2 linked regions of the Oryctolagus cuniculus genome follow. The protein of the gene in region 2 interacts with the protein of the main gene of each other region in a biochemical or structural test. Links are inferred from orthologs where the notes say so. Each region holds a gene or a part of one and is shown on either strand. Other genes may lie near its edges. The genes, in order: RIPK2 and BIRC3.

Evidence for each region.
Region 1: the proteins of BIRC3 (region 2) and RIPK2 form a complex in vitro, tested with the Homo sapiens proteins (2 studies listed by BioGRID, with this or other methods). The link is inferred for Oryctolagus cuniculus from reciprocal best matches to the Homo sapiens genes BIRC3 and RIPK2.

The regions. Positions count from the first base shown.
Region 1 is NC_091437.1:114,996,630-115,001,010, reverse strand, and holds the start of RIPK2 (receptor-interacting serine/threonine-protein kinase 2), read right to left. Parts: upstream 3,072-4,381; 5' UTR 2,671-3,071; coding exon 2,498-2,670; exon of another isoform or gene 2,466-2,497; intron 1-2,465.
Region 2 is NC_091432.1:94,034,733-94,039,200, reverse strand, and holds the start of BIRC3 (baculoviral IAP repeat-containing protein 3), read right to left. Parts: upstream 2,993-4,468; 5' UTR 2,781-2,992; exon of another isoform or gene 2,775-2,780; intron 1-2,774. UniProt on the Homo sapiens protein: Multi-functional protein which regulates not only caspases and apoptosis, but also modulates inflammatory signaling and immunity, mitogenic kinase signaling and cell proliferation, as well as cell invasion and metastasis.

The sequences.
Region 1 (4,381 bases), on a different chromosome or scaffold from region 2:
CACTCCCCAAATGGCATCAACAGCCAGCACTGGGCCAAGCCCAGGTCAGGAGCCAGGAGCTTTATCTGGGTCTCCCACATGGGTTTCAGGGGCCCAAACACTTGGGCCATCTTCTGCTGCTTTTCCCAGGCCATTAGCACAGAGCTGGATCAGAAGTAGAGCAGCCAGGACACAAACTGGCACCCATATAGGAAGCCAACCTCACAAGGGGCAGCTTTATCCACTACACCACACTGCTAGTCCCCCGAAAAACAATTTCTAATGACCACACCAGAAAGTGGCAGAATTTTGGTCAGATTTGAATTGCAACCATGGGACAATAAAGGCCTAAGTTCTTTCTAATCAGAGAAGTAGGAAGGTTCTTAGATTCTGACATGATTAAGTGGGAAAACAGAGCCAAAAGATTGTAAAGATAGGCTTTTACATTAAAAAAACCTAAAGTATGAAATACATCTTCTATGAACATATCAACAAACTCACTCAACACATAATTTCAATCAAAAAAGTTATGACATAGACAGGGTATTTGAACGATCAATCTCGTAAGAGGAAGGGGGAGGTACACGAAGAGAAGTCACGTTATGGATGGTGACTCACCATTCACAAAAATAAGGGCATGTAACATCATCACATGAATTTATTTTTCTTTCAGGTGATCCCAAAGAACAATGCAAACACTGTCTATACCAGAGCCCAAGAAGGACATGCACAGACACACTGTGAGTCAAGTGCACGGCCTAGCCCTATACCCAGACTACATAAATCTACATAACACTTTTAGTTTACAGGTGGGTAAAAAGAATGAGATGGTAATGCATAATGTTCCACTGGTAGGATGGTTCCTTGAGGCTCATTTTCTACCCAATTTAGACAATGAAAAGTGTAAAGGAGTATGGAAAAGTGTAAAGGAGTATGGGAAGGGAACTCCTTCTTCACTCATTGGCCCCTAAATGTCATAAGGCTGAAATAAATTAAAATCTTGAGAAAGTAGCATCCAAAATCGGAGGATCATCTAGCTTTAAGGTGTGCAGTGAGTCTATCAGTGCTATAGTTACACAGTTAGTTCTAAAATATATTCATCCACTTTAACCAACCACCATCCTTTAAACTTCACACACCCTAGTTCAGCACTTGCTGCATAGAATAAAAGGTGCAGGGTAAAGACACCACATCCTGTATTTTACTGAACCTTGAATGCAAAAGTGGCAGGCATCTCTAGAGAAATCCGGAATCTCCTCTGGGATCTAGCTAACTTCAGCTTGATTGTGAGAGACAGCAAAGAAAAGCCAGAGGCAGACCAAAGTCCAATAATTTGACAGGATTGAAGCTGAGAAATTATCTGATAGGGACACTGCAAAATGTATTAGATGATGTATTTTCAAATTAGAGATGGGGGGACAGAGAAAGTTGCACTCCTGGGTGTTAACTAAGTAAATAGGAGGCCTAGTTATATCCTTGCTGAAAGGAAAATGCACAGAATAGTAACTGGACTCACTAACCAATACATCAGTTACAAGTCTGCAGTATATGGTTGTAATGTTTTTCTGGAAACAAAACAGAAATTAATGCTGCCTTCCTTTAAAACTCGAACACTGCACTAAAAATGTTCCACGATGTGAGAGATTCATAATTTTTGGCCACTTACAAGTCTTCTAGTTCAATTTATTGTTAGCAAAAATAATACACATTTCCTCTGGGGGCAGTCTTTCCTATGAGAGAGGAAGAAACTGAATTGGTTGTTGAGTTTGATATTCGAACTTTCATTACTACACTTAATAAACCACAAACAAAACAAAACCAGCAAAACCAAAACTCAAGCATCACAAACTCTAGAGCAGCACTGTCAAATGAAAATATAATGTGAACCACGCATACAATTAAAAATTTTCTAGTAGCCACATTACAAAACAAGTAAAAAGGAACATGTGAAATGAACTTTAACAATAGATTATATTTAGCCCAATGTGTCAAAATTTTATCATCATTCAACCAATATGGAAATATGAATGGTACATAAATCATAAGGTTTTTGTTCTTGATTTTCTAAGTGTTCGAATTCCAGTGTGTATCTTACAGCACACTTCAATTCACAGGGGGTCACACTTAAAAGTGTTTAACAGCCACCTGTGGATGGATGAGAATTACTTATTAGACAGCCCCGTAGCCCAATTTCGGGCAGAAAAACAAAGGAAACAAAACCCACATCCACTACAGGAAACAGGGCTTTTACAGTTGGGCTGAAAATGCTGATTTTGGGAGTATGGGGAGAGGAAACCCTGGGGAGAGTAAGAGGAGAGGAGAGAGACGAAACCATGGAGGAACGCATTAGCACCTCCGGAGAAGCCGGTTCTCCCCAGGGAGACTGCCTAGAGGTGACGAGGGCAGGGACGGACCCCAGGCGCTCACTGCCCTTCTGGATCTAGAACCCTCTTGCGCCGCGTCGGGGGCGGGCACGCAGCAGGGCTGCGGGCTTTGCGTGGAGGCGCCGGCGCCCTACCTGTCGAGCAGCGGGGTGTGGATGTGCAGATGCTTCACCGCCACCTGAACGCGCCAGTCGGCGTGGCGGGCCGACGACACCGTGCCGGAGGCGCCGCGGCTCAGGTAGCGCAGGTCGGCGAGTTTGTGGTAGGGGATGGTGGGCAGGGCGCTGCAGATGGCGTCCTCGTTCATGGTCACGGGCGGCGCGGGCGCTCAGGCCGCCGGCCGGTTTCGGGTGTGCCAGCGGTTCTCAGGGAGCCTCAGTCGTCCAGATGCAAGCGTGAAGGCGGGAAGCCGGCGAGGCCCTCCCTGTCGCGGGCGCTAGGTATCGAGGCCGGCCATTCCCAGGGCGGCCAAGGCCAGACGCTGGCTTTGCTCGAGCCGGAGCGGCCTCGTCTCCTGTGCAGTGGGTCGAGTCAGCGGCGCCGCGTCGCGCCGAGGAGGAGCTTCCTCTGGCGGACCTGGCCGTGGCCCGCGCGCGCCGCCGCCGCCCCAGCCTGGCCGTCGGGGCTCCTCCCTCAGCAGCTTCTCAGACGACGTCAGTGGCAGCGCTGAGGAAAGAGACGGGCGGCTCGCTGGCGACCCTGCCTCCTGCGGCCGGGGTGTTGCACCCGCGTCGCGCGGTCCCCGACGATCTGTGCGACACCCAGGGGCTGAGGCTACCGGTCAAGGGACTGGACAGGCAGCCAGGGCGCCCCTTTTATCTTCAGTCCTCCTCCCCATCCCCCATCCGGCTTTGGGAAAGTTTTCCTTTTGGGAAAGTTTTCCTTTTGGGAAAGTCCCTCTCAGCGGCCAGCTGACCAGGATAGGCTTGGGCAGCGGGCCCGCGCACCGAGGATTCTGCGAGTCGTCGAACACCAGAAGCACTGTGCGGGGTTGGGGGCTGGGAGGGTGGGCTTATTTTGGCTCGGGGGAGGGGCGCTCCAGACTCTGCGCCTGCGCGGGAAGGGCCCTGTTGTGGGTGGAGGGGGCGTGTTGTCTTCCAGTGCTTCTGGCTGTTTGGGGCTGTGAGTTCATCTGTGTACCGGGACTTCAATCCTCTCTAGTTTACAGCCACATTAGGAGTGTGGAGTGGATGATAGACCCTTTTATAGTGGAACAAGTGCAGGTGCTTAGCTGCCACTTGTTCCAATACTGGAGATCTGGTTTCTCCCGCTCTTCTTAGTTCCCTAAATAACCCCGAGAGTCCATCTCTCTAACTCCAGGGACTGTTGCAAAGATTTCTTCCTTATAGATCTTAGCGGAATGCCCTCAGTGTTTAATAAAAAAGACTGCAAACATCTTCCAGCCTTTCTACCCTCAACAAACACCTTTCCCCCTAAATGACTGTTCTGTAGGGTGAGTGCAATATCATATATACTGGTAACCCAGACTAGTTCTTTAACGAATTCTAGGGCAGCAGTAATAAGGAATGCCTAACTTGAGTAAAGGATTTCTGCTTACAGAGAACTAATGATTCTTGTATTTCTGAATTGCCTGAAATGAGAGTAGTAGCGTTACATTTTACAATAGGGGGAAGTTCTCAACAAATAATGTGTTTAAAATTTTGATAATTTTATAATAGTTTTTAAAGATGTGGTTTGACAGTCTGTACTTTATTGCTTAATAAGCTTTATGCTACAAAAAATGCTCAGGAAAGTTTTCCATTTATTCATCCAATCAGTCAAGAAACTAAGAATTCCAGAAAGACAAACATGACAAAACAAACAAAAAGGGGAGGAAATGATCGAAGTAGTACTTCAAAAAACTTTTCTAGGAGTGAAGGACGGGAGTATCCACATTTAAAGAACTCACAAACTAAAAAAGGCCTGTGTTAAAGCACATCCTGAAAAGAGGTGAGAGCACTAACATACTAAAAGTCTTCCAAGGGGTTACATAAGAATAAAGGATGGGGATTAGAATG
Region 2 (4,468 bases):
ACTGAGTATGTGCTATGTACAAGATGATATAGTAGACACTGCAGGAACCACGAAATCCCAGATAAAGACCAGAAATATCCTGTGACCAGGAGACATACTATGTTAGGCTGGCACAGAATTAGATTATAATATCTTACTAATTTTTTTAACTTTTTGTGTTAAAATTAATTTATTCTTAGAGAAAACTTGTAAAAAGACTATTCACATACTCTGCACTCAGCTTCCCCAAAGTTAACATCTTCTATAACCATAGTATAATTATAGAGACCAGAAAATTAACATTGATAGAAAGCCAATTTTCCAAACCAGGTTTTTTTTGGACCACAATATCTTCAAATCTTATAGTAAGTTAATTGCCGCATTTTTCAATGTAAGAGATTTCCTAAGACATTCTAGATTCAAAACTTCTCTTAAAAACAAAAATAAAAACAAAACATGAGAATCTGGCAGCTCAGCCCTGTATCCCTGCTTGGCAATCCTAGCAAGAGAGCAGAGCACCAGCCGTACCTTTCAGACGGGGCACCTGCTCTCCACTTTGGCACTGTATTTTGACTGCCTGACACAGAGACCGTCAGTTACTATTTGTCATTCACCTGGCACTGTTATTTTTCTTACAATAGAATTATAAGAAACATGAAATTCTTACAACTCTCATGTTCATCAATAGTAACCAAATGAGAGGTAGACAAAGAGGGACACATATTTGGAGAAAAATGAGAGGGAAGCATATTTCTTTGTGGAGATGAAGACTATCTCAAAGAAGCTCTGATACCTATATTTAAAAGACCATATATTTATATTATTAAAATTGATTTTATTTGTTTTATATTATGCATAAATTATATAGATGTTTTATGAAATATATTTCAAAGGCTATAAAAGAAGATTTGGTATGGAAACAAAGCATATGTTTGTGGAAATTTAGGCAACATCCAATACACAAAAATAGGCTAAGACGTTACCTTTGGATCAATTCAACCTCTGCCTTACCCATTCCCAACACAAAGACATCCAAATGTTGCAGGATTCCACCTACCGCCCTACAGAATGGGACCAGCACTCCGGGCCCTGGCAGCTCCCTAGCCACCTGCCCTCTGCCAGCTCCTTTCTAACCATTCAGTACCCTCCTCTGCTTTCTCCCTCACTACTTGCCATCCCACGATCGAGCACTGTTTTGCTTTCTATTTCTCAAGGAAAAGGGATGTCAAGGAGCAACAGTTTTCTCACGCTCTCATAACCATGTCTTTTTGCTCACAACCCCCCACCCCAGCTGCTTCTTCATGGGACCCCATCCTCTCCTCCTGCCTCAGAAATCTTTTCAGCCCTTCTCCCCTCATTTTTTCAACTGTTAGTCTCCACTGGCCTTTTTCATTCCCTGTAACAATCTTGCTTAAGTTTCAGCTTTCAAGTGAAAACAAACTAAAACAAATCCACTTTCCATTGCAGCCAGTGCCCTGTGTCTCACCTGCCTTTTTCAGTGAGCAAACCGAACCTGTGTCTACGGTTAATTTTGTCCGTGTTTTGTCTCTCATTTACTCCGTACAACCAGCACCATGGCAACTACTCTCAGCACCAAGGCTTTTCTGCCAGAACCAAGGGGAAGTTTTGCATCTGCCACTGGGGCCCACTTCCTCTTAGCAATGGGCCCAGCTGCTCCAACACCACCCCCTTGGAATTCCTCTTTCCTTTCTGGCAGTTCCCCCTCAGGGCAGCTTGTGTCCCCAGCCCTCTCTCTTCCTAGGTCAGAATTTCCAGTGGGCAGCATCCCTGACTCCTGGCCACTGGGAGTCCCTACGCTTTTGGGCACTCAACAAACTCGTTTCTCTGAGGATGGAGGACCTGAACTTTCCCCTTCTGCCTCCTCTGGACTGCAGGCTCCTTCAGAACAGGAACTTGCCTCAGCTCCCCTCCAGCCCCCCCCAACCACAGCATCCACAGGACTTGGGATCCCACCTAAAGCCTGACCTTTGGGCTGCAGATGGAAACTTAGCCAACATTTTTGCTAACCTGAGGAAAGTTCTGCATGGCTGCTGTGCCCTCATCTGCCTGGGGTTGAGGACATCAATTTTACATTAATGATAAAGACTGCTCAGCCTAGTGTCAGGCACTGGGGCCAGACGTCTGTGCTATCCAATACCAACCAGTCTCCCCTAAGCAAGAGCAGGACTTTAGACAAGTAAATCTACAAGAGCCTCAGTATCAAAAGGCAGAATACATTACAGTACCTGCTTCTTAAGATGGTGATCATCAAACAGGAAAAATACATGTAAAATTACTAGAATTGTTCTTTTGGCATTAAGTAAAACACCTCCAACAATTTACTGATTGGTTTAAGAGCCCCCTTGGGTTTCCATGGTGACCCCAAGCAAGTGCATGTGCCACCACCGCTCAGGAGCATCCCTCTGCCGGTTCCCTAAGTATTTTACTGAGACTGCTGCGTCCAGCTCCAGCTTGGGCTTTGTCCTGAAGCATATCTGGAACCCTCCAAGCCCCAGTGACACTTCCCGGCAATCGAACTGAGATGTCAAAGCTTCACCATTTCCACTGGTGCACCCCTAAGTGAAATAGAAACTGCAGCCGGCAGGAAGGTGGGATGGAACAGGAAGGAAGGAGAGAAGCCCGCCGGATCCTGCTGCGGCGCCAGCACCCCTGGGCGGGCGGCAGGGCGGGCAGAGGCTCGGCAGCCGCTCGCCCGGAGCCACCTCTCTTCCCCGCGCCGTGGGCGGAGGGGCGCACAGAGACACAGACAGAGACACAGACACAGGCACACGCACACTCACTGCAGCCTGTCGCCTAGGCCGACCGCGCCAACACCGACGAGCTGGGTCCCCGCGAGTGACACCTGCCGCCCCGCTTGTGGCTGCCTTTAAAGGCCTCCGCCAGACACACCGCTTCCCCACCAGCTCTTGCACTTTTGCATGAGCGCGGGTGCTTTCCTTTTAGGACCTAGGGGAATTCCAGCGGTAATAACCACACATACTTCCCCTTAATCAGTGGCCTGGCAAACCCAGTCGGGGATTTCCGTGGCCCTGAAAGATGACTCTTGCTTAACGTATTTACTGCAAGACCTTTGCTCCATTGTTCCTGGGTGGAAGGAAATCTTGATAACCAGTGCAGAATGGTGGTCAGCCTCACCCTGACCCCTACCCTCCCATGGCATGTACTTGGCAGGTGCAAAAGGTCAGACTTTCCAGCCTTCTCTAGGGGCCTCGAGAAGTTCAGTATTTAAAAAAAATACAAATACATTGAAAATTTGTGAAATCGTTTGTTAGTTTTACTTTTAGTTCTGATTATAATAGAGCTGAAAGGAAATGTAGGGTATGTTAAAAAGTCATGCAGCTTTCCTTTTCAGTTTATTTTTTACTGTTCTAAAGATTGAAATGACTATTTCCTAAACTGAAAGGCTTTCCATTTTGTCTTCTTTTCTTTGGGTGGGGTTTTTAACAAGTAGGGTGGACTTGGCTAGAAAGAAGAAATTCCTCTTTTTTAGCCTTTTGTCTCACAAGGGAGGCCTTTAAGTTGTAGTGAGGTTGGCATGGAAACCTGAGGCCTCTGTGTCTAACTACAGGGCCCTGTTTTCCTCCATGTTCCCTAGGCAGCACACTGAAGGCTCTTAACTAAGGGCAACACTGGCCAAGGCTCCAGATGGGCAAAGAGAGCCTATCTGAATTTAACATTTTCCAGTAGAACAACGGTAGTCACCGACCAAAGGCAGAGCCCACCAGCGGTACTCAGGACTTCATTCTGGGGCATGCAGGCAGAGGGCTGAGGTTGCGGCCCAACCAGGCCACGCTGCTGCTTGGGGTGTGAGCATCCCATACCAGGCTGCAGGTTCCAAGGTCGGCACCTCTTCTTCCCATCCAGCTCCCTGCTGATGAGCCTGGGAAGGCAGCAGATGATGGCCCAAGTGCCCAGGCCCCTGCCACCCACACAAGAGACCCAGGTGAAGTTCCTAGTGTCTGATGTGGACTGGCCAGCCTTGGCTACTGGAGGCATTTGGGGAGTGAACCAACGGAGGTAGAAGATGTCTCTGCCTACCTCTGGGTCACCTCTGCCTTTCAAATAAATAAAATCTTTGAAAAAAAAAAAAAAGCAAAACATGGTCTTTATACATTTCTAGTCATGTACCCACCAGAAGAATTTTGCAAACTCTACATTCCCTTACCCATTTTTCACTTAACATCAAAACATAATAGTTGCAAAGGAACTGCAAAGCATAAATACTGATATTTTGAAATAAAAATTGACATAGAACTTTCAGATGTATGTGATGGACTCTTAACACCATAGCCATTTGGCACCCAGCATCATCCATTAAACTCTAAGTCTGGTCATCTTTAATAACTGCAGAATGCATTACTGCCTTGTGTTCTTGGACAGCCCAGTTCCCATACAGAAAGCTAATAGTAGAAAGGGTCTTCAAAGTTTATGAAAAATATGTATAGTGAAAAAACTAAGCATGTGTTTC